Nothobranchius furzeri: one gene and its partners. The protein of the gene in region 5 purifies or fractionates together with the protein of the main gene of each other region. This does not show direct contact. Links are inferred from orthologs where the notes say so. Each region holds a gene or a part of one and is shown on either strand. Other genes may lie near its edges.

Region 1 (3,680 bases), on a different chromosome or scaffold from region 5:
AACTTCCGTTGTTTTATTTGGCTGTGTCAGGTTGGAGGGAATTAAGGTTATTTAAGCGGTTCAGAGTTAATAAAGTGGTAGATATGATGTTTCACAAGGTGCTGCTAGAGTTATGTGAAATCTTACTGCTGATTTTACTATATAAAACATAATAATAATCAACTTCTCCGTCATGTTTGCTCGGAGATGTACGGAGCATCCTGTCCGCTCATTGGTCAGTGAATGAAACCTCCGTTGATTGGTCCTCGTCCGAGCGACAGCAATGAAAAGTTGAAAATGTTTCAACTTTCTGGGATTGCGTCGCTGGGTCGCCTGTGCACGACACGTGCACGAGCGCAAAATTTCACTTGCACGTCTTTCGCGTTTCGCTGAGTAGGAGGGAGACCCGCGATTATCGCTTAGTCGCGCATGTCTCACTGAAAATGAATGGAGGAGAGGCGATGCCGCCTCCCGTGTGTCGAGCCCTTAAGGTGTATAGACAGAGACCCTAAGCTACATTCTGTGACCTAAAATGCTTCGTCCAAGTTAAACAGCTTAAGGGCAATTCTCATCTGTCTTATTTGATCTCATCTGTAGACATTTATTATAATTGGGGATGTCAAATGACTAATTTTTAAATGTAATTAAACATAGGCTGTGAATTCATCAAAATTAATCACTATTTCCAAAAATGACTAAAAAATACCAAATAAAACAAAAAAAATTGAAGACTTGGAAGAGTTGTCCGACACAACGAATCGATGACGCAATTCGTTGCCAACACTTTTAATAATCGATTTTTATCGATTCGTTGTTGCAGCCCTAATCACAGTACATGATAAGATGATCACTTTTACGGAGTTCTGAAAAAGCATACATGATTTCTGAAAGGGTAAAACTCCGGAAAGATACTTTAAGGGGATCAATTTGGAGGTTAAACCACAAAATATTTCTGAGCACGGCCATGCCTGCAGCTCACGACTCCCCCAAGGGATAGGTCCAATGCGGAAAACAAATTTTGCCGGTGTGTGATGACTAATGGGACTTCAATCTTTAAATGCCAGCATCCTCACACACCAAACTGTGTATCACTTGTATTCACAAGATAAAGGTGCTTGCATGCATGCTTCTTTGTATGTGTGTTACTCCTCAGGTACTCCATCCATCTGTGGGATCTGAACCATCCAGGAACTTGGGAAAGCAAAGGCACATATGTGTATTACACAGACTTCATCATGGAGCTGTCTATGCTGTTTCTGGATCTTATGCACCACATCCACATGCTTGTAAGATCTAAAGCTGTTTCCTTATTCTGGGACATCTTTTTACATTCATGTTTTTTTTAAAGCGTTTTGTTATAGAACTCAGATTATCTGTATACACACACACACACACACATAGAATTATTAGAAAAAAAATTGAATGGTTTACATGTGCACTTGTCAGTGTTTTGATCAAATGTGAAGGATTATTTGAAGAGGCATTTGGGAGTAGAAGAGAGGAGACTCGGCTCAGTGAGCTTAGCCAGAGTATCTGAGATCTACGTCTTTATTTAGAATATTTACACAGTTTATTTTCCTCTCCAAATATGTTACTTTCAGCTTTTTGGAAACATCTGGCTTTCCATGGCGAGCTTGGTCATCTTTATGCAGCTGCGCTACCTATTCTATGAGGTCCAGCGCCGCATCCGCAGACACAAGAACTACCTACGAGTCATTAACAACATGGAGGCCAGGTAATAATACATACGTGTACAAAAATGTAGTAATACCATTGTTATTATGTGTGCTTTTGAGTCCTTGTGGGTGCCATTGATTCTTGTTCTAAATGTGTGCAGGTTTGCTGCTGCTACTCCAGACGAGCTGGCAGCCAATAACGATGACTGCGCCATCTGCTGGGACGCCATGCTTACGGCACGAAAACTTCCATGCGGTCATCTCTTTCACAAGTAAACAAGCGCTTCCTTTTTGGTAGCTTCTGTAAAACAAAGTAAAAGCTGCCTATTAGAAACGGTATGCATCCATGTGATTTTGTAGCTCTTGCTTGCGCTCCTGGCTTGAGCAAGATACGTCGTGTCCCACATGTCGAACTTCGCTAAACATCAATGGGGACGGGGTTCAGGTGAGAGGTCAGCCGCAGGGTGGTGCTATGGAGGATAACGTCGGTCCTGCTGGTGCTGCTCTGGAGGGGAGACCACACATCAACCATCACAATCACTTCTTCCACTTCGATGGTAAGTCACCCAAACCCCTAACCGCGACCCGACACGTCTCTGATGGGTTGTGATGTTTATTTATTCTTACAGGATCCCGTATTGCCAGCTGGCTGCCCAGTTTTTCAGTGGAAGTGATGCACACCACTAATATTTTGGGCATCACGCAGGCCAACAACTCTCAGCTCACAGCTATGGTAGGACCACGTTTACTCCCTCTGTGGTTTCATGTGAGATCACACAGAGATCCTGACTGAAGTTGTGTTCTTTTCTTAGTCCTTTTTTAGTTAATAAGTCATTTGTTTTTTAGAATATTTTTACAATAAATGGATTGTATTTTTGTAATAAAAGAAGTGTCAGCATCAAAGCCTCCATCAAATACACCTGATGAAGTTCATTAAACCCCACGTTAGACACTTTCAAGTTAGGAATCTGCTGTAATCTGGGATTGAATAAAACCCACAAGTATTTATTTAATCATTAGGGATGTTCCGATCACGCTGTTTTGGTCCCGACCTGAGTCCGAGTCATTTAATTTTGAGTGTCTGCCGATACCGAGTCCTGATCCGATACTTCTCAGGAAAGCATTAAAATAAGAAGAAATAAAGAAAACATCTGAGTTTTCCTTTAACTTTCACTTTTTTAAGAAGTGCATTGATTAAAAAGCGAGTTTATATTATGAATATATTTAAAAGTGGCAGCGTTGCTCATATTTCAAGTTGTTTACTCCCTCAATATGCAGCTGTGTTGAGAGATGTTTGTTCCCGTGATGGGGCAGGCATGCGGTGCCTTGGCCGTCTGGCTAACTTTTCCTGCACAACACCTGTAGCTACCGAGCAGCTTGGTCCTGCAGGAGACTTAGAAACCCCAACATTCAGCAGCCTGTTTATTTCCCTGTGGGCTGGCTCTGTGCTGTCTGAGTTTGTTGTGAACTGGGAAGGAAACAGGTCGCTTTGTTGACGCCTGAAGGGAAACCCAAATGCAAAAGTAAAGGTTTGAAGGCTGTGAATGCCCAGTATGCAGACATTACAAGTGGCTGTTACACTGCCTTCACTGTTTGGATTAAAATACCACCATATTACGGACAATAAGCAGTAGCCTGCTTGCTAACAGCTGCACCTCGGTGTCTGAATCCCTGCCTGCCGTAAAATCTTGTGACTTTATGGTGTTGTTTTCATACAAGAAACAAATAATGTTGATACAGATGAACTTGTTGAAATTAAAACCAAGTCATTGTTATTCCAATAGAAAATCTCTATTTTGAGATGAATTTAAAATATCATAATTGTTGTTTAAAATCTTTTCCTCCCAATTCCGATCCTTTTAAAATCACATGATCGGAACGTCCCTAAGTTTGACAGATATTTAGTTCTGGTTTTGTCTCGGTAGGAAAGTTTTTGTGACAATTTTAAACAATCAAACAAACGAATCATGACTCTGAAGTATTTTACATCAACAAGTGAACAATTGTTATGCTCAGCCACATGCT
Region 2 (4,382 bases), on a different chromosome or scaffold from region 5:
ACTCCGTGTTGATGCTGGAAGCCACAGAGCCCCATCTGGAGTGAGGAGGCCTCACATGAGCCTGCAGGGCCCGTCTGATGGGATGGCCGTGCCACTGGCAGCAGGACCAGTAGATGACCACAGCACAGCTGGCCAGATGCAAGCACACCGCGAAAAGCAGAAAAGCTCTCCAGCTGTGACTCACCTGGTGAAATGAGATAAATGTATCTGTTGTGGTTACTATTACTAAAGGCTATCTTAGGTCTTCACTGAAATAGCTTAAGGGCGTTTGCATGTTACCGCACGTCTCCCGTCGTCTGATTGTGTTTGACTAAATTTAATCGAAATTTAATTCAAGGCTGATAATGATTTACTTATTTTTCACCAGTTTTCATCATTCTGGAAGTGAAACAGACCTGCTGCACACAGCTGCGCAAAACAGGGCAGTTTTAATTTATTTCACACACACACACACACACACACACACACACACACACACACACACACACACACACACACGGTTTATCCTATGTATAGTGATCCCTCGTTTATCGTGGTAGATGCGTTCCAGACCTGGCAGCGATAGGTGAAAATCCGCGAAGTAGGGACACCATATTTACAGTACAGTACTATATTGAATTATCGTATGATCACATTCTCTTTTTGTGGGTAAAACTCAAGAAAAAAATGTTTTTTAACTTGTTTTTTTTATAGTTTTATTACAAAAAGTGCATTTTATGAAGAAATTGATGAAAAAGAACAGGAATTTCTTGATATTTCGCATAGAAAAATAATGCGAATCAGCGAATTTCCCTTGAATAAGGCTCCAAAGAAAAAATCCGCGATGAACGAACCGCGAAGTAGCGAGGGATCACTGTACTCTGCTTTAACAAGATAACCTCAATGCTTGAGTCATTATAAAGTAAGTCCAAAAGTGTGATAAATGCAATAAGATTGATGACAAGTTCACATTTAATGTTTTTCAGAGTTTTTAAGTAAAAGAAATGGAAAAACTATTTTAGCAAAACAGGACAGAATGGTTTTTATAGTGCCATGTTCGCATTTTCTTTACAAAACTCCCCCAAACAGCTGTTGTGTTGGTGGCAGGAGGACAGTCTGCACTAGGCCTGGCTGTTTAACCTGGCGTTGGTGCAGGCTGCGTCTTTGTTCACACACCTGCTGCTACGTGGCACTGCGTTGCATGTAGTACCGGAGTGTTCCACTAGGGGCACACTAGAGAACTCAGACTGGATAGAGAGCCGGGTTTGTGGGCACAACCAAAATGAGCATGGTGTCAGTAAAAGAGCTCACTAACTGGTTAATTTTGAGATCACGACAGAAAAAGACCAAAAAAACTGCAGCAGTACCGTAGATGGTGTGCAAGACCTCAGAACCAGAGACGGAGACACCATGGCAAGTCTGTCTTGCTTGTTTTGTCAACTCCACCTACTGGTTACTCGTATATTGCAGCGTTTGGATGTGTCGCATTAATTTTGGGGGACGTGCACAAACGATGCTTCAAATCAACGCAAATAACGTGTGGCAGCCATTTTAAAACATGCTTTCTCGTGGTTAAACAGCAAGTATCTCATGGCCCTTAGCGAAGGAAGACGGTTTCCTGCTAAACGAAATAGCCAATCAAAGCAGAGCCCGTCTAGCAGGGGCGGTTCTATGGGGTTTCAAGTGTGGGTCAGTGCCACCCCTACAGCAAGCTTGGACCCCCCCGTGCCACCCCTGTTGAGAGCAGATTATAAGCATTAATGAGTTGATATTTATTTTATTTATTTATTAAATCATTTTGATAATTTAGCTTAATGCAAGATGAGGAATCAAAGCTTGAAGTTATTGGAAGCTGATGAGGGATGCTGAGATTTTCATGTTGTCACTGAGGCGGATTCCAAAGTGTTTTTGTAAAATAGTTCTATGTAGAAAATCTAAAACAACTGTAACTAAATTGCTGTTATTACAAATATGGACTTTAATTACAATTTTTAGTGTTTAATGACAGCAACATGGTGTCTTCTTATTAATGTGCTTCTAAATGAGCAGCGGGCTCCAGCCTGGCCCCCCCAACTAAGGTTAGTCTAGAACCTTCCCTGCCTTCTAGCCAATCAGAGGTGAGAAAAGCAGGATCTTCCTTGGATATCAGACCCGGAGTCTGCGGATTCAGGCTCAAATGCAAATTACGCCTCCGGGGTCTGTAGCTGCTTCACACAAGGGGGGAGGCGGTTGGAGTGATGGCTCAAGAAAACAACTAATGGTGCCTTGATAATCCTGAAGAATTCACTCCTCTGTGGTGCTGCTACCAGATCAGCATTTGAACTCAAACACCAGTTAACAACTAAAGATCTTCAGGTCTGGAGAACATGAGGACCGACCTGGTAGAAGGAGCTGAGGTGTTTCTCGGGAGCAGCGACGCACATCCCCAAGTAGTAACCTTCAGAAGACACACAACATGAGCCCAGCACAGACGTCCAGAACAACCCGCTCTCCTCAGCTCACACCTGAGCCGCTGCACCAGGGGGTTACCTGACCTAGAGGCAGCGCGGACTGGACCAGGATGGTGACGCTGATCCTTCTCAGGTGGTAACGGAGGAAGTCCACGTCCTCGCTGCCCAGCCAGGACGAGAAGACATTCTGGACGGTCAGCCCGGCGGACCGAAACTCGTCGGGGGTGAAAATGATGCAGATCGCGAACGTAACATACGCTAAAGTAAAGGATAACTCTGGGCTCGTCATTCTGCCCCTGCGCCATCTACTCCACTTCCGCACACGTCTTTTACCACGTGACCCTTTCGCGAGAGGGTTAGCTATTGTATTGTGTCCGACGGAACAAATATATCATATATACGCTTTTTATAGTTTATTTATATACAGTGTCCAGGGTTGAACTCTTCCAGTTAAGCGTGCTGGAGCAAGTGAACGTCAGTTACTCATGTCGGTATGCTAGTAAGGCTTCATGAAGCAACTATGCTTTTCAGTTATAGCGACATCTGCTGGTGGAGTTGAACCACGACAACCAAGGTCACCATCATGATGGCTAACATTTATAGTTTTGACTCTGCCGTTCTTTATCATTTATGATCATGATTCTCTCCCCAGCTGTCCCTTTGAATGTAGCTAATTGTTGTTTATGTTTGTGTTCACATCATAAAAGGAAAGGTCAAAGGGTGTAAAAATTAAATTATATTCAAATAAAACCTAAAGAAACTGGTGAGCAGAAAAGACTTTAACCAAAACAAGTATCAATCACAGACAGTGATAACTAAGATGAGACAGCAGAGCATGTTTTATTTACACTCGTACATTTAAAAAACTCAATTTCAGATGTACATCAAAAATTACAAAATCACTCAAGAATTTTTTTTTTTCAAAAGGACCATTTATTATTGTATAAAACAGAATTTTGAATAAAGATTAAATTAATATTTCAACCATACTACAGGGGGCAAAAGTGCACAAAATTACAATTTAAAAACTGGATCCACCTTAAAAAAAAAAGAAGAAGAAGAAGAACGGAGGCGGTGACGCAGCAGCAGAAGTAAACACGAACAAGATGGCGGACAGCGATGCCCGTCCAGGCTCGGGGCCACCAGTAGACTTGGATGTTCTGAAGCTGTCGGACTTACTGGAGAGCGGTTGGAAAATATTTGAGGAGGTGGACAGAACCAACGAGCCCGTCGCCTCCACCAGCGTCCAAGAAAGCGTAAGAAGCGGGATTCGGATGCTGGAGGACGCGTCCAGGATGGTCGCTCAGCTAGCCCTGTTCAGCCGGAATGAGGACTTGGAGGAGGTCGCTACGGCAGACCTGAAGTACCTGCTGCTTCCCGCCTTGTTAGGAGCCCTCCACATGAAGAGGACCAGCCGGGAGAAACGGCTAGAGGCAGTCCAGGCTGCCCGGGTGTACTACATGGACTTCCTCCAGAGGTGCCGTGATTACAACGTATCCCAGTTCGAGATGCCTCATAAGTCCTCTTCCAGTCCGGAAGAAGTGTCGGCCCCCGGGTCCTCTAACGCCACGGTGAGTGGAAACGTGGTTCTCCATCCATCCATTGTCTGAACCCGCTTGTCCATGTAGGGTCGCGGAGGGGCTGGTGCACACACACACACCCACCCACACCCACACCTAAGGGCAATTTAGACAGACTAGTCAACCTAACAGTCATGTTTTTGGACTGCGGGAGGAAGCCGGAGTACCCGTAGAGAACCCACGCATGCACAGGGAGAACATGCTAACTCCATGCAGAAAGATCCCAGACCTGTTAGCGAACCCAGGACCGCCTTGCTGCAAGACAACAGCTCTAACCACGGTGCCGCTGTGCAGCCCGAAACGTGGTTCTGTTGGGTCTAACTGGAGTTTCGCGATGCAGTTAAAATGGAACGCAACGGATCGAACAGAACCA
Region 3 (4,115 bases), on a different chromosome or scaffold from region 5:
TAAGATAAAAAAACAAAACAACAGACATTATTTAATGTGGATTAAAGGAGATTGGGTGAGCCTGATCTGATTAAATCAGCCTGTAAAAAGATGAGAGAGAGGAAGTACTTACTTGGTGAAGACAGGGCCAGCTGTAGAGAGAGAGAGACGGGATTATTTTACATTTTCACAGCAGCTCAGATCTGTGACATTTCCTGAGCAGATTCATTTTTTTGGGATTAGATTAGTCTTGAAAAACCTCCTAAAACCAGTACTGCTCCCATTCGTTTGTTTTAATTGGCTCCATCTGTCATCAAAGGTTGGAGAGGCCAACCTGCTAATGCGATGTGGGAATAATGTTGGTGCTCCATGATTTTGGAAGAAATTCCCAACACACACACACACACATACACACCCACACCCACAGATGTGTTGAAGAGCATGTCCACAAAGTCCCCAGGTAGCATAACGCTCCCTCCTAAGGAAGGTGTTTTACTCAACCCTCCCGCCATCAATCCTGCTCTATGGTCAACTTTCCTCGCAGGGTCACCCGTTAGGACAGTGGGAGGGTTAAAAAGTCCTTGGTTTGTTTACTGACTTTTATCATTTCCAAATAAGGCAGGGATTTGGATTAGTTAATCCTGTATTCACGACTGCGAAGTACTCAAACCGAGTTATTTAAATGACGTCATGTGAAAACAACAGAAACCAGCTGAGTCACATGACCTGATGGGTGTGTGTGTGTGCTCCTGTAAACACAAAACAGCTGATCAAAGTCCAAAGGCAACAGACACAGAAACGGGTTAAATCGACCAGAAAAAGTGAATAAAGATGTGATTTCTGCAACCTGAATTGACATTTTAGTCGACACAAACTAACATTATCTGCTAAACTCATTTGTTTTATGATTTCAGAACCATTTGAACACAAAGACCAATTAAGAGCAACAATTACAGGGACTTCTAACACATTTGAACTTTAACCCCCTGTGTGTTTTAATTAACTGTACTAATGCGCTGCTGTAAGATTAATCTGAAGTTGCAGCAGATTAACTGATGTCAGCTCTTGTCCTTCTTGCTGAAAAGTTTCATCACACTGCACTTGAGTCCCAGGAGCAGAAGGACCGACGTAACATAGCAACTGCATCGCTCACAAATGTGCAGCAGGAAATTATCCCAATGACCAAAAAATGATCAACATAATACAGAACATCTAAATTCCAGATGTCCAGAGTCCAGAAACGGGTTTTCTAGCCAAAGACTTAGAAACATTAACATTTAGATAAACATGAGGGAATTTACGGCTCAACTATTCCCCCCCCCCCCTTAGACAAAGTCCAAAGTCAAAGAGTGCATGAAATTATGCATAAATAAGACGTGTGCATAAAATAGTTGCCAGATTTTTAGCTCTACAAGTCTCTACAAGTTTGTGGTTACTTCGGTTTGGAAAATGATTCAAACACAACTGTTGTGCACACGCTTTAGAGGCAAAACTGCAATGTCACCCAGAAAGGATGCTTAAAAGTCCAGATTTAGGAAAATGCATAATAATAACTGCAGTCAAACACACACACACTTCTGATCACAGTGACCCTACAGTTGACCTCAATCCTACTTGTTGGCTATAAACTCCCACTAGCCTTAGCTTAAGAGATCATTAGTGCACACAGTTCGTGAATCACGCGCGCGCGCGCGCACACACACACACACACACACACACACACACACACACACACACACACACACACACACACACACACCTGTGATTGTGTGTACATTTTCAACAAGTTTTCAAGGTCAGGTTTTGTGCAAGTTTCTGTGACACTGATAGAAGAAAGCACTAAAAGCAGCTTTTAGGTACAGAAAAGATGCATCCTAAAAAGTAACAATTTTATGAGATTTTTAGATTTGCTGGCATGTCAGATGTTCCAAAATAAAAAAAAAAACAATGATCTCACCAAAAAAAAGCCTGAATTTTTATTGTAAACGTGACATAATTAAGTGATTTTAGTCAAACTCAGAATGAACTGATGAAAAAGTGGTTTGTTTTTGTGTCTCGCAGAGCGGGGCGGAACTAAATCAGATAACATGATACATTCATCCTTTCACACCAGGAGTACATACATTCATCCTTTCACACCAGGAGCCACTAAAACCAGCTGGCAGTAAACGGACACCCAGCACAGGAACAGTGAGCCATTTTGGCCGCTGTCGCCTCGGATCAGACGGGACGTCGCGGGGCGTGTCTCTGCCATCGACTACATATCGGTAAACCGAGGCCAAACAAACGCATGAAAACCGTTTCATACCAGAACAAGTGTCCGCACATGCTGATGACAGCGTCCCTGGCTGTGTCCAAACAAATGTTGCACTCGAACGAGGCTCGGTCCCGTTGGCTGTCGCCGTTGCCGCCTCCATCCGGTCCGTCTCGGTCGTTGCTGCTCTCTCCAGCCGGGAACCCTTCTTTGCTGGCCGGCCCACCGTCACTCGAGAAGCGGGGATTCGTGGCCGCCATGTTTACTGACCTGGTTTAAGAGCGTAACACACCGAGCCAACTCAACCCAACAGGGCCGGCCCGAGCTAACGTAAACCGCTAGTCAGAGGTAGCTGCTGCTGCTGCTACAAAGGACCTTTGGACGGAGCGGACCAGCCCCGGTGGCGCTCCCGTTAAAAGCGCCCGACTCCGTTTCCCCTGACTCCGTAGGCCGGGGGCGGGCATTAGACACGAGGAAAGGGGCGTGGCCATAACAAAAGCAAGTTCATATTTTAATAGTACATTCGACACCATTATTTTGAAAGAACGTAAAACAATCTAATATGTAATGACTCTTGTTTTATTTTTGTGCAGACAGATTTTTTTTCTTACAGCTTTTTATAAAGAAGTTTTTTTTCTTTCTGCCTCTTCTTTCTTTCCTATTCATTTTCTCTCTCCCTTTCCTCATATTTTTTTTTCTAATTTAAACATAATTTTTAAAAAAATCTTTATATCTTAATTATTTGTTTTTGTGAAGCGCCTTATGATTTTTATTTTGAGAGGTGCTACATAAAAGATGTTTTCTTTCTTCCTTCTTTTAGTAATTGTTCCCTACCAACACAGGTCTGTTGCAACAACGTAGTCACAACGTATTTTCTGACACCTTGTCATGCGAGTCCAGTATTGTAGCTTGGCTGTCTGGTAATAGACCCTTTTACTACCTACGTCATCAAAAGTTGCGCGTGCAGCCTGGCAACGAGAGTGAAGGCTTCCTCATTCATACTCAATACTAAAACAGCGTTTTAAACCCTTTGTTTTGAAGTTCTGAGCACATAAAAATGTCGGGTTGTTGCGTGTATGGATGCCAGAATCGCTTCTCTTCAAGCACTGGACTGAAACTTTACAGAATTCCAAAGGGAGCACATCCATTTCAACAAAATCAGAGGCGTCTGTGGCTAGGAAGGACTTCTGCCTTCAAGATGCAAAACTCAGAGTCTATGTGGTGATATTTTACTTTCTGTACGTGGCCACAGACAACATAGTTGTATGCATCTAACGATTTGTATGCCCGTAGCTTCTCACGTGTGTACTTACTGGGCCTCTCCACTAAAAACGTATATATATCGGGCCACTGGATATCTGGCCACGCACCTACATCTTCCACCCATTCCGTAATGCCTCAGGGATCCGGGAGTCTGTTGCGATTCGTTAAAGTGAGTTTAATAATATAACATTCAAGATTTGCCGGTGATAACCCCGCAGCGTAGCTTGATAAAGCCTGACACAACGCCATTCTCTGTTGCCAAGCTGCGCGCGCCTTCTCGCTGACGTCATATTGTTTACAAACAGTAAAAGGGTCTATTTAGGAAGTGTTATCCTGTCAAGGAATTAATTGAGCTCGGCATCTGATGGGTTTGTCTGTGGTGAGTACAAAGTTTGGTAAAAGTTTTTGAAAGTGTTGTTTATTCTTTCAGGATCATAAACTATATTCGATGTTGCAGGAACGTCGTATGTTACGTAGTAGCGACTTCCAAAGTGAAGTTCCGCTACGACGTTGCCAGAACGTCACATAGAGCATTGCTGGAAGGTTGTCGCGACATATCCACAACTTCACTGCGATATTGTGACAACATTGCTATTGTAACGTTGTGACAAAATAACAA
Region 4 (3,286 bases), on a different chromosome or scaffold from region 5:
ATTTAAAGACAAGTTCTCAAAACGAATCAAGAAAAAAGCTGCTTTTATATTCAATAAACCCACATTTTTAAAACATGTTTAATTTATAGTTGGAAAATTACATCTTTACATGAGCCCATTCAGATATTACAGGCAAAACAGGCATCTATGAGTAACCACAGGCACACTATGGGCAGACTAAACTACATAGAGCCACATGTAAAAGCTGTGGCCTTCGTTAAATATTGTACGTTTTAACTTCATGAGCTGGAGGCAGTCTGCTTTACATAGTAACAAACCTGCATTTGGTCGTTTCATGACGAGTCAAATAAAAACAATAGTGGGCATTTAAATATTTAACTTATGTACAAGTGATGGCTCATTTAAACAGGGTTCCCATCCTTTCAACTCTCGATCACAGCTGCTTCAGACTTGGACCGTGCTAGTTGTGCTTGATAATCGCTGTAGGGGTTGTGGGCTAAAGCATGAACCAAGAGAAACAGCAGGGAACTCCCCTCGAGTAACTAACAACCAGTCTTCCTCGGTTGTGACAGCTTGTGTGGGACGAGGAGGTTGTGCTGCAGCTTTAGTCTCACTGCTGGGAGGAGGATAACTGTTAGCTAACACCAACAACAGTTTCTCCACACAAGGAACCACTTCAAGAAATATTTATTTGATAAAATTCAAGACTGCAGGCTAATGGGAACCCTGTCAACACAAGTGAAGGAGCACTGGATGCAGGGTGGTTTAGTGATCCAGGTTAGTTTCTATAGCAACCATCCCTTCTGTAAAACGGCCATTTACCAAAACAAACCAAACAACATGGGTGGGTCAGAGATAAACGTGTCTCCATGTAGACGAGGTAAGTCATCTATTAGTCGTCCGTGAGGTCCTGAACAAAAACGACCTCGGAGCGACTGAGTCCTGCCTCCTTCAGCGTGGGGGGGTTGGGCTGCTCTGCAGTCGGAAGGCAGGGCAAGACTCGGCGAGGGAAGTTTGTCACGATCTGAAACTTCTCTGGAGTTTCCTTCAAAGAGAAAAGGAAGTCGTAGATTACCTGTGGAAGGAAGAAGAAACATGTAGATGTTTCATCACATGTCAGCGTCTAATAACCAAACATTGACCAGAGGCGTGTGAAGGAGACCAAAGACACCAGCGCTCACCGTCAGAGACTGAGCGAACAGGAACCGCCTCTCTACTCGTGTGTCGTTGGGCAACTTGAACACTATTTTAACACTTTCTGGATCATCAGCAGATGGTTCTGGAGGAAGGCACTCCGACTTCCTCTCCTTCTCCTCTTCTAGTGTCTGGAGTGAAAACAACAACAGGAATCAGACATGTAGGGGAAGACCAACGTATCCATGTACAAACGAAGACGACCAGACTCACTCTTCGTCTCCTCTCCTCTGCAAGAGCACTCTGTCGGACCTTTTCCTCCTCTTGCTTCTTCTGCTCCAGCTCCTCCCTTTTCTTCCTCTCCTTCTCCTGGTCGGCGCGTAAGGAGGCCAGGTAGGCCTCATCCTGCTGCTGCCTCAGCACCTGGGTCTGGTTCCTCTCCTCTCTGGAAACAACACTTCAGTCTTCACTCGCTGCTACTTCAGCTGTAGAGAATGTGACGACGGTCTCACTAACTCCAGCTGGTCTGACGTACCGCTCAAGGCGCTCTGACATCAGGTATGTCTGGTTGGCATCCATGATGAAGGTGACCTGATTGATGAGCTCCTCAGGCTGAATCAGACCCTCGAGCCGACCCACCACGGTCATCTTCCGGTCCTTTAGCATGATCATGGCCAGGAATGGGTAGGTGTTCTCCCGCAACGCTTGGGACACTTGGTATAGAAACCATTGTTACACAAAAGCCCAGTGGACTACCATTATTACCACGCTTCTGCACGGATCTTAATGTTTTTGTAGCCACTCAAGCTAACAGAAGAGTCCCTGTAGGACAGAAAAGCAGCACTAGCTTCTAGCTTTGGGGACTCCACATGGGTCTGAACTAGGGCTGGGCGGCATGGCCTACAACTAATATCACGACATATAGAGGATTTCACCTCGCTAGCGATGAACAGACTAGAACTACAGGTGTGTGCAGGAACAACAGTTGTCCACTAGATGTCACGTGTTCCAGGTTGAGTCACACTGGTATGCCACTGAAGGTGGTGCAGCTTCTTACAGGACATGAATGTTGCCAGCTCACACACATATTTCATGTTCTCATCTCATTCCTGAGACGGGAACAATTATCTCGGTAAGAGTGGATTTATTGCCCAGCCCTGGTCTCAACATGTTGTTTACCAGTGATATCAGAGTGTTTGTTGTTTTCAGAGCAGCCAGACTTACCCCAGGTTTCCACGGGAGCCGTCAGCAGCACGTTACTGCAGCAGCACGTCTAGCTGCTGCTTGGCCCTTCCCACGAGACGCGACGCAGCAGAGGAGCAGCTGTCACCGACAGGGCACGAAGTCACACGAGTGACTTCGTCAGTAAACACAACAACAAGCAGGAGAAAACTACAACATGGCTCCAAAATGTTTGTGTTTTTATATTCTGTCCGTTTTATAATCGCCGATACGGACCTGAAAAACAAAGGAGACCGCTAGCTAGGTGATAACTTCTCACGGGGCCGCACAGTTAGTAACCTTTTTTAAAGTAAAGCGACCGGAAGGCAGTACGTTCTTTATTCTGAAAATTTCGGGAGCTTCTCTCCATTTCCGCGTCCGATTTCCTGTCTTTCCTTCCCCAAAAATGTCGAACTTGACCCGTTTCAGAGGCGTCGCGCGTAGGAAATAGAACCGGCGCGTAAAGGCCGCGACATGCTGCTCCTGAGACGCGGCCGACTCGTGCTGCTGACAGCTGCTGACGGCTCCTGTGGAAAAGGTTCTGTTGACCACAGCCGTTCCTATCAGCAGCTATGACGTGCTGCTGCAGTAACGTGCTGCTGACGGCTGCTGTGGAAAGCCGGGGTCACACTGATAACAGATGAACGAATGAACGGGCATACACACCTCGGTAGCCCTCGGGCTTGCTGGTGGAACATGCCCAGAAGAGCATCCGTGTGTTGAGGAAGGTTATGACCTCTTCTGTACATAACGTGGAGCTGAGGAGCCACAGATCAGAGGAAAGGATGAATATGTTCACCTCATCTAACAGTTAAGGTGTGGTTCACTCATTAATCAGTGCATCTGCAGAGGTCTCTAGCAGGAATGAAGGCCTCGTACGTCACACTCTGTTTCAGAATCTAGAGAATGACCAGATCAGAGAACTTCAGACGACAGGATCTGGAGTCTTACTTCCTGATATTCGGACATC
Region 5 (4,141 bases):
GAAGAGGAGGTAATCGTCTCATTCCCCGCCGAGCCGAAAGCCCTGTCCCCAGCTGTGGCCTCCTCCTCGCTCCTGGGCAGCAGGCCTCCGTCCCGGAACAGCTCCAAAGCCTGACACTTCTCTGTGATTGGGGAAGAACCGATGCCTGCACATGGGAGGGAGGTGCTCAGTAAAAATATAATTCAAGGTAATCTGGAGGAACAAATCCATGAATCCAATTCAGAAAGCGAAGGTAAAAAGCACAGCTTCAGTAAGAACGGAGTAATCACACCAGCTGTGATGATTTATATCAAAAGTGGAAGTTTTTCCTTCTAAGTCTTACAAGAACTCTGGTGTGGAGAGGAAGGAGCGTCCTCCCAGATCCATGGGATACTTGTACATCAGGAAGAAGTAAAGGTGGCCCACCAGGTTCCCCGTCAGCTCGTTCACAAATCTGCATAAAATGGAGGGTCAAAGGTCACAGGAGCACCATAACAGCAAGCTGCTTGATAATCATAACAGAATTCAGTTAGAAATGAGACTTACGAGCCTCCGATGATAAAGTTGAAGGCCAAGATGACCCACGGTAGATAATGAGCCTAGAACAGAGCACACCCCTCGTCAGTAGGTGTAGATATCTGCTGCTGCTTAGCAACCACAATTGTGAGCTACTGTGTGAATTTTGAAGCAACGGCCAGACAATGATTAACTGATTAACATCTAAAAGTTTAATTTCTCAGCATAAGGAGAAGTGTTGATCTGTGGTGTTTGAGGCAGCAGGTGATTCCTGTAGGGAATGCCAGGTCTTAATCCATCCCCTACCCCTCCCTAGTGTTTGTCCTGATGTTGCCGTTTACAGTTCTGAGGAGAATACCTTGAAACGTGTTCCGAACCAGAAGGAGACGATGGTGTTTTTGTTGAACTGAGCCCAGACGTACAGCGCGGACAGGATCAGCGGGATCATCAGCAGCTGAGAACACAGACGTTAAAGCTCTAGTTCAGCTGTAGCTTTGAGTGAAGTAGTCCATAACTCATGTTTTGGTGTAAATACAGAAGAAAACTCACATGCATGTTCATCAGCATCGCAGTTATCTACACACACACTCCAAGTCAAGGACAACACGCTGGAATCATTTGGAATTTCAGGATCAGAGCAGCTGCTCGTGGGACGGTCGCCCACTTCAATCCCCACTTCAGCTCTTAAAGGACCTAGCAGTCACATCTGCCTTCTCCACTTCAGAATAAGGGATCTGGGGCCATCACTCCTTCAATATCGTATTTATTCCTACCTCTTCCTGCAGTAAAAGCCAAATATTTTTGTGGATAAATGTTATTCTTCAATCTTATAGCTAAGAAATAGCTATGAAAAGCCTTAGGAGCTAACAATCAGGGCTGAACTCCCGACAAAGCAGCATGGAGCTAAGGTGTGGGCTGGACTGCTGGTGCTGCATGTAACCTAGATTAGGTTTCTCCACTCTGCAGGGGTAGACTGACACTGGGCCACTGGCACAGAGCCACCCTGACATTGTACACTGCTGCAGAGAGAGAAGAGGTGCAGGAAGGAGAGGAAAAAATACAGGAGGAAACGCCATACACCTCTGATTGTAAAAAGCTTACAGCTTATGGCTTAAATGGGCGCTGGTTAAAGGATACAAGAATGCAGATCCAGTTAAAGAGCAGCATAAAAACATAGTCTGCAGGTCTGCCATTAAACTCAGCTGAAAAACACAAAAAACATCAGATGCAGAGAACATTTAAACTACAGAGAGGAGTAGTCACAGGATGGCAGCGGTCTTACATGTCTCCAGCCGAGTGGAGTAATGGTACAAAAAATAAAGGTTGACCAAATAAAGGAATCCGGTTTGAGGGGTGATGGGAAAATAAAAGGTGGCAGTGACTGGCCTCCAGAGCTGAAACAAATAAAAACAAGCATTAATCCTCAAAATACTATGTGATATTGACACAGTCAGCACCCCGTAGATTACAAATAAGGATAATTAAAGGGTGAAGATCTTTACATAAAGCAGGATCAACACAAACATTTTAGCCGAAGGTCTATTTGCCTATTAATGGAATTTGCATTTTAATTTAAGGTGTTAAATTCGTTTAATGAGTTATGTGATCTCCTGTATAATAATAAACAAGCACGTGCAGTTAGCGTTTCAAATAAAGTATTTTTAACTGAATTGAAATCCTGCGCCTAAAATCCGACATTCTTTCCTGTATCTGATATTGAAGCTCCAGCAGCCAGAGACAATGCCCAACACGCTTCGTCACTACTCAAGACATTGTCGCCGCCTTGTGGACGCCGTGAGAACAGCATACTAAAAACAAAATAGCTGTCCTTTATCAAATCATCTAACGCTGGTATTTTGTCACATTAAAACTCCGTGTTTTTTTTTGTTTGTTTTTTCTTTTTTTGGTGACATTTCAGAACATCTTTCTGAACCTAGTATTTATGTAATAACACCCGAATAACACGCACTGAGTTTTATAGACAGCATCCGGAAAACAGATCCTGCCATGTCGGGATTCAGGCCTGTCATGGTTAGCCACCTGCTAGCTAACCGAATACATAAACAGAGAGTAAAAAATGATAACTGATCCTTTTGCCGACACGGATGAACAAATCACTGAAGTGCGTACCTGAAATTTGTTAAAGACGAGCTCCGGAATAAGCACAAGGTTGCTATGATAAACCAATCCTAGTCTTCCTATCAAAGGAAAAGCAATGGAAGCAGCGAACCACCACCGGGTGATTAAAGGGATGCTTCTGAACCAGTTCCCGATGTCCGACATCTTCTCAAAAGTCTTCTGCTAACCTACAAGTCCGAAATGTAAAAAAAAAGTCACTTTGAAAAGAACCCAGGACCTCTTAAAACTACAAGTCTTTAGTCTTGAACGATTAGCTCGTCCACTGCTAAGTTTACGTGACGTGGCTAAGGGCTAATCACAGCTTTGCATTTGCAGAGCTCACTTTCAGAACGAAAAGTTCCGGTACAGCTTTTCAAAATAAAAAGGAACTTTTTTTTAAAGGCCGAGATTCAGAAAGCCTGTGAAACTAGATAGTAAAAGAAAAACAGATGATATAAAAAAAAGTTAGAAAAATACAGTATATCCTTTATTCTGGTTCAATTCACAGAATTGGGTAAGATGCAACGAAATGGGCACAATGTGACATGCTAAATACTGAATACACAAACGTGAACAAACATTTTTTAAATGTATCAATTTCAATAAAAAAAGGACACAACAATAAAATGAAACAAAATAAAATTTCTTTAAATGTGTACAAAAATACTGGTATTTTTTAAATTGTCTTTTTAGAACACGATTTTCAAAAATTCTTCTTTTTTACCTTTTGCGTAAGTCAAGATTCAAACAATAACTTTTCATTGGAATACAATTGATGCAGAACATAGTTTTTGCTAAACCATATGCATTATCTCATTAACTTATATCATCAGTAATTTATTTCATTTTGAACAGCAGCGCTCTTATTTTGAAGGACAGAATGAGAACCGGATATACCGTAATTATCTAAGGAGACTTTCTAGATGTTTTCAAATCATTTCCTGTTAAATTTGCAAAGCAGATTCTAAACCACTCAGAAGAAGCCAACAAAGTAAAGGGGCGTGTCTTGTTCAGGAGCTTACATGCACCTTTTGAAAGTGATGCGTTCACACCTTTGGAAATAAAAAAAAATCACATTACAATTTTTTTTGTTAAGTACTGGTGACTTTTTATGCTGTGGCAATTTGTCTGATAGCATAGCCTTGCATTGATGTGGTTTGTTTGTTTGTTTTTATTTTTTGTTGATTATTGTACTTTTTCTGTCCTGTTTCGATGGAACAGATCCAGTAGCCAGGAATGAGTGATGGATCTGCTTTATCTGCTGGTGTTTATTTGATTTGCATGTTTCATGCTAATCTGAAAATTAGACTCTGGAACATAATGCCCTCATGACCCATCCCCAGATAGGCAGAAGAAAATGAATGAATGGATGGACAATAAATTATCAGCATTTTAAGCAAGAGTAGGAAGATGTTATCCTGGAGAAGATTCGTCTAGCGTAACCTGTTTTATATGTTAGAATGTATCATAATGATTAAAATGATAATTTAATGTTTTTCGGTTGTATTTATTGCATTATGCTTGAAAT

What was found.
Region 1: the proteins of derl1 (region 5) and amfra purify together in Homo sapiens (affinity purification with western blotting; 4 studies listed by BioGRID, with this or other methods). This does not show direct contact. The link is inferred for Nothobranchius furzeri from reciprocal best matches to the Homo sapiens genes DERL1 and AMFR.
Region 2: the proteins of derl1 (region 5) and tmem129 purify together in Homo sapiens (affinity purification with western blotting; 3 studies listed by BioGRID). This does not show direct contact. The link is inferred for Nothobranchius furzeri from reciprocal best matches to the Homo sapiens genes DERL1 and TMEM129.
Region 3: the proteins of derl1 (region 5) and rnf5 purify together in Homo sapiens (affinity purification with western blotting; 4 studies listed by BioGRID and IntAct, with this or other methods). This does not show direct contact. The link is inferred for Nothobranchius furzeri from reciprocal best matches to the Homo sapiens genes DERL1 and RNF5.
Region 4: the proteins of derl1 (region 5) and faf2 purify together in Homo sapiens (affinity purification with western blotting; 4 studies listed by BioGRID and IntAct, with this or other methods). This does not show direct contact. The link is inferred for Nothobranchius furzeri from reciprocal best matches to the Homo sapiens genes DERL1 and FAF2.

Annotation. Positions count from the first base shown.
Region 1 is NC_091749.1:54,415,035-54,418,714, forward strand, and holds part of amfra (E3 ubiquitin-protein ligase AMFR), read left to right. Parts: intron 1-1,132; coding exon 1,133-1,265; intron 1,266-1,580; coding exon 1,581-1,714; intron 1,715-1,816; coding exon 1,817-1,927; intron 1,928-2,015; coding exon 2,016-2,212; intron 2,213-2,284; coding exon 2,285-2,388; intron 2,389-3,680. UniProt on the Homo sapiens protein: E3 ubiquitin-protein ligase that mediates the polyubiquitination of lysine and cysteine residues on target proteins, such as CD3D, CYP3A4, CFTR, INSIG1, SOAT2/ACAT2 and APOB for proteasomal degradation.
Region 2 is NC_091741.1:108,954,604-108,958,985, reverse strand, and holds the start of tmem129 (E3 ubiquitin-protein ligase TM129), read right to left. Parts: upstream 2,880-4,382; 5' UTR 2,735-2,879; coding exon 2,509-2,734; intron 2,417-2,508; coding exon 2,358-2,416; intron 185-2,357; coding exon 1-184. Other genes in the region: igbp1 (immunoglobulin-binding protein 1), read left to right, coding at 3,536-4,000.
Region 3 is NC_091759.1:8,560,376-8,564,490, forward strand, and holds the start of rnf5 (E3 ubiquitin-protein ligase RNF5), read right to left. Parts: upstream 2,824-4,115; 5' UTR 2,494-2,823; coding exon 2,288-2,493; intron 132-2,287; coding exon 113-131; intron 1-112. UniProt on the Homo sapiens protein: Membrane-bound E3 ubiquitin-protein ligase that mediates ubiquitination of target proteins. May function together with E2 ubiquitin-conjugating enzymes UBE2D1/UBCH5A and UBE2D2/UBC4.
Region 4 is NC_091742.1:44,986,807-44,990,092, forward strand, and holds the end of faf2 (FAS-associated factor 2), read right to left. Parts: intron 3,075-3,286; coding exon 2,983-3,074; intron 1,809-2,982; coding exon 1,631-1,808; intron 1,541-1,630; coding exon 1,369-1,540; intron 1,287-1,368; coding exon 1,143-1,286; intron 1,037-1,142; coding exon 854-1,036; 3' UTR 632-853; downstream 1-631. UniProt on the Homo sapiens protein: Plays an important role in endoplasmic reticulum-associated degradation (ERAD) that mediates ubiquitin-dependent degradation of misfolded endoplasmic reticulum proteins.
Region 5 is NC_091745.1:56,656,258-56,660,398, forward strand, and holds the start of derl1 (derlin-1), read right to left. Parts: upstream 2,934-4,141; 5' UTR 2,779-2,933; coding exon 2,626-2,778; intron 1,890-2,625; coding exon 1,778-1,889; intron 1,698-1,777; coding exon 1,633-1,697; intron 1,072-1,632; coding exon 1,045-1,071; intron 950-1,044; coding exon 854-949; intron 579-853; coding exon 526-578; intron 434-525; coding exon 323-433; intron 146-322; coding exon 19-145; 3' UTR 1-18. UniProt on the Homo sapiens protein: Functional component of endoplasmic reticulum-associated degradation (ERAD) for misfolded lumenal proteins. Forms homotetramers which encircle a large channel traversing the endoplasmic reticulum (ER) membrane.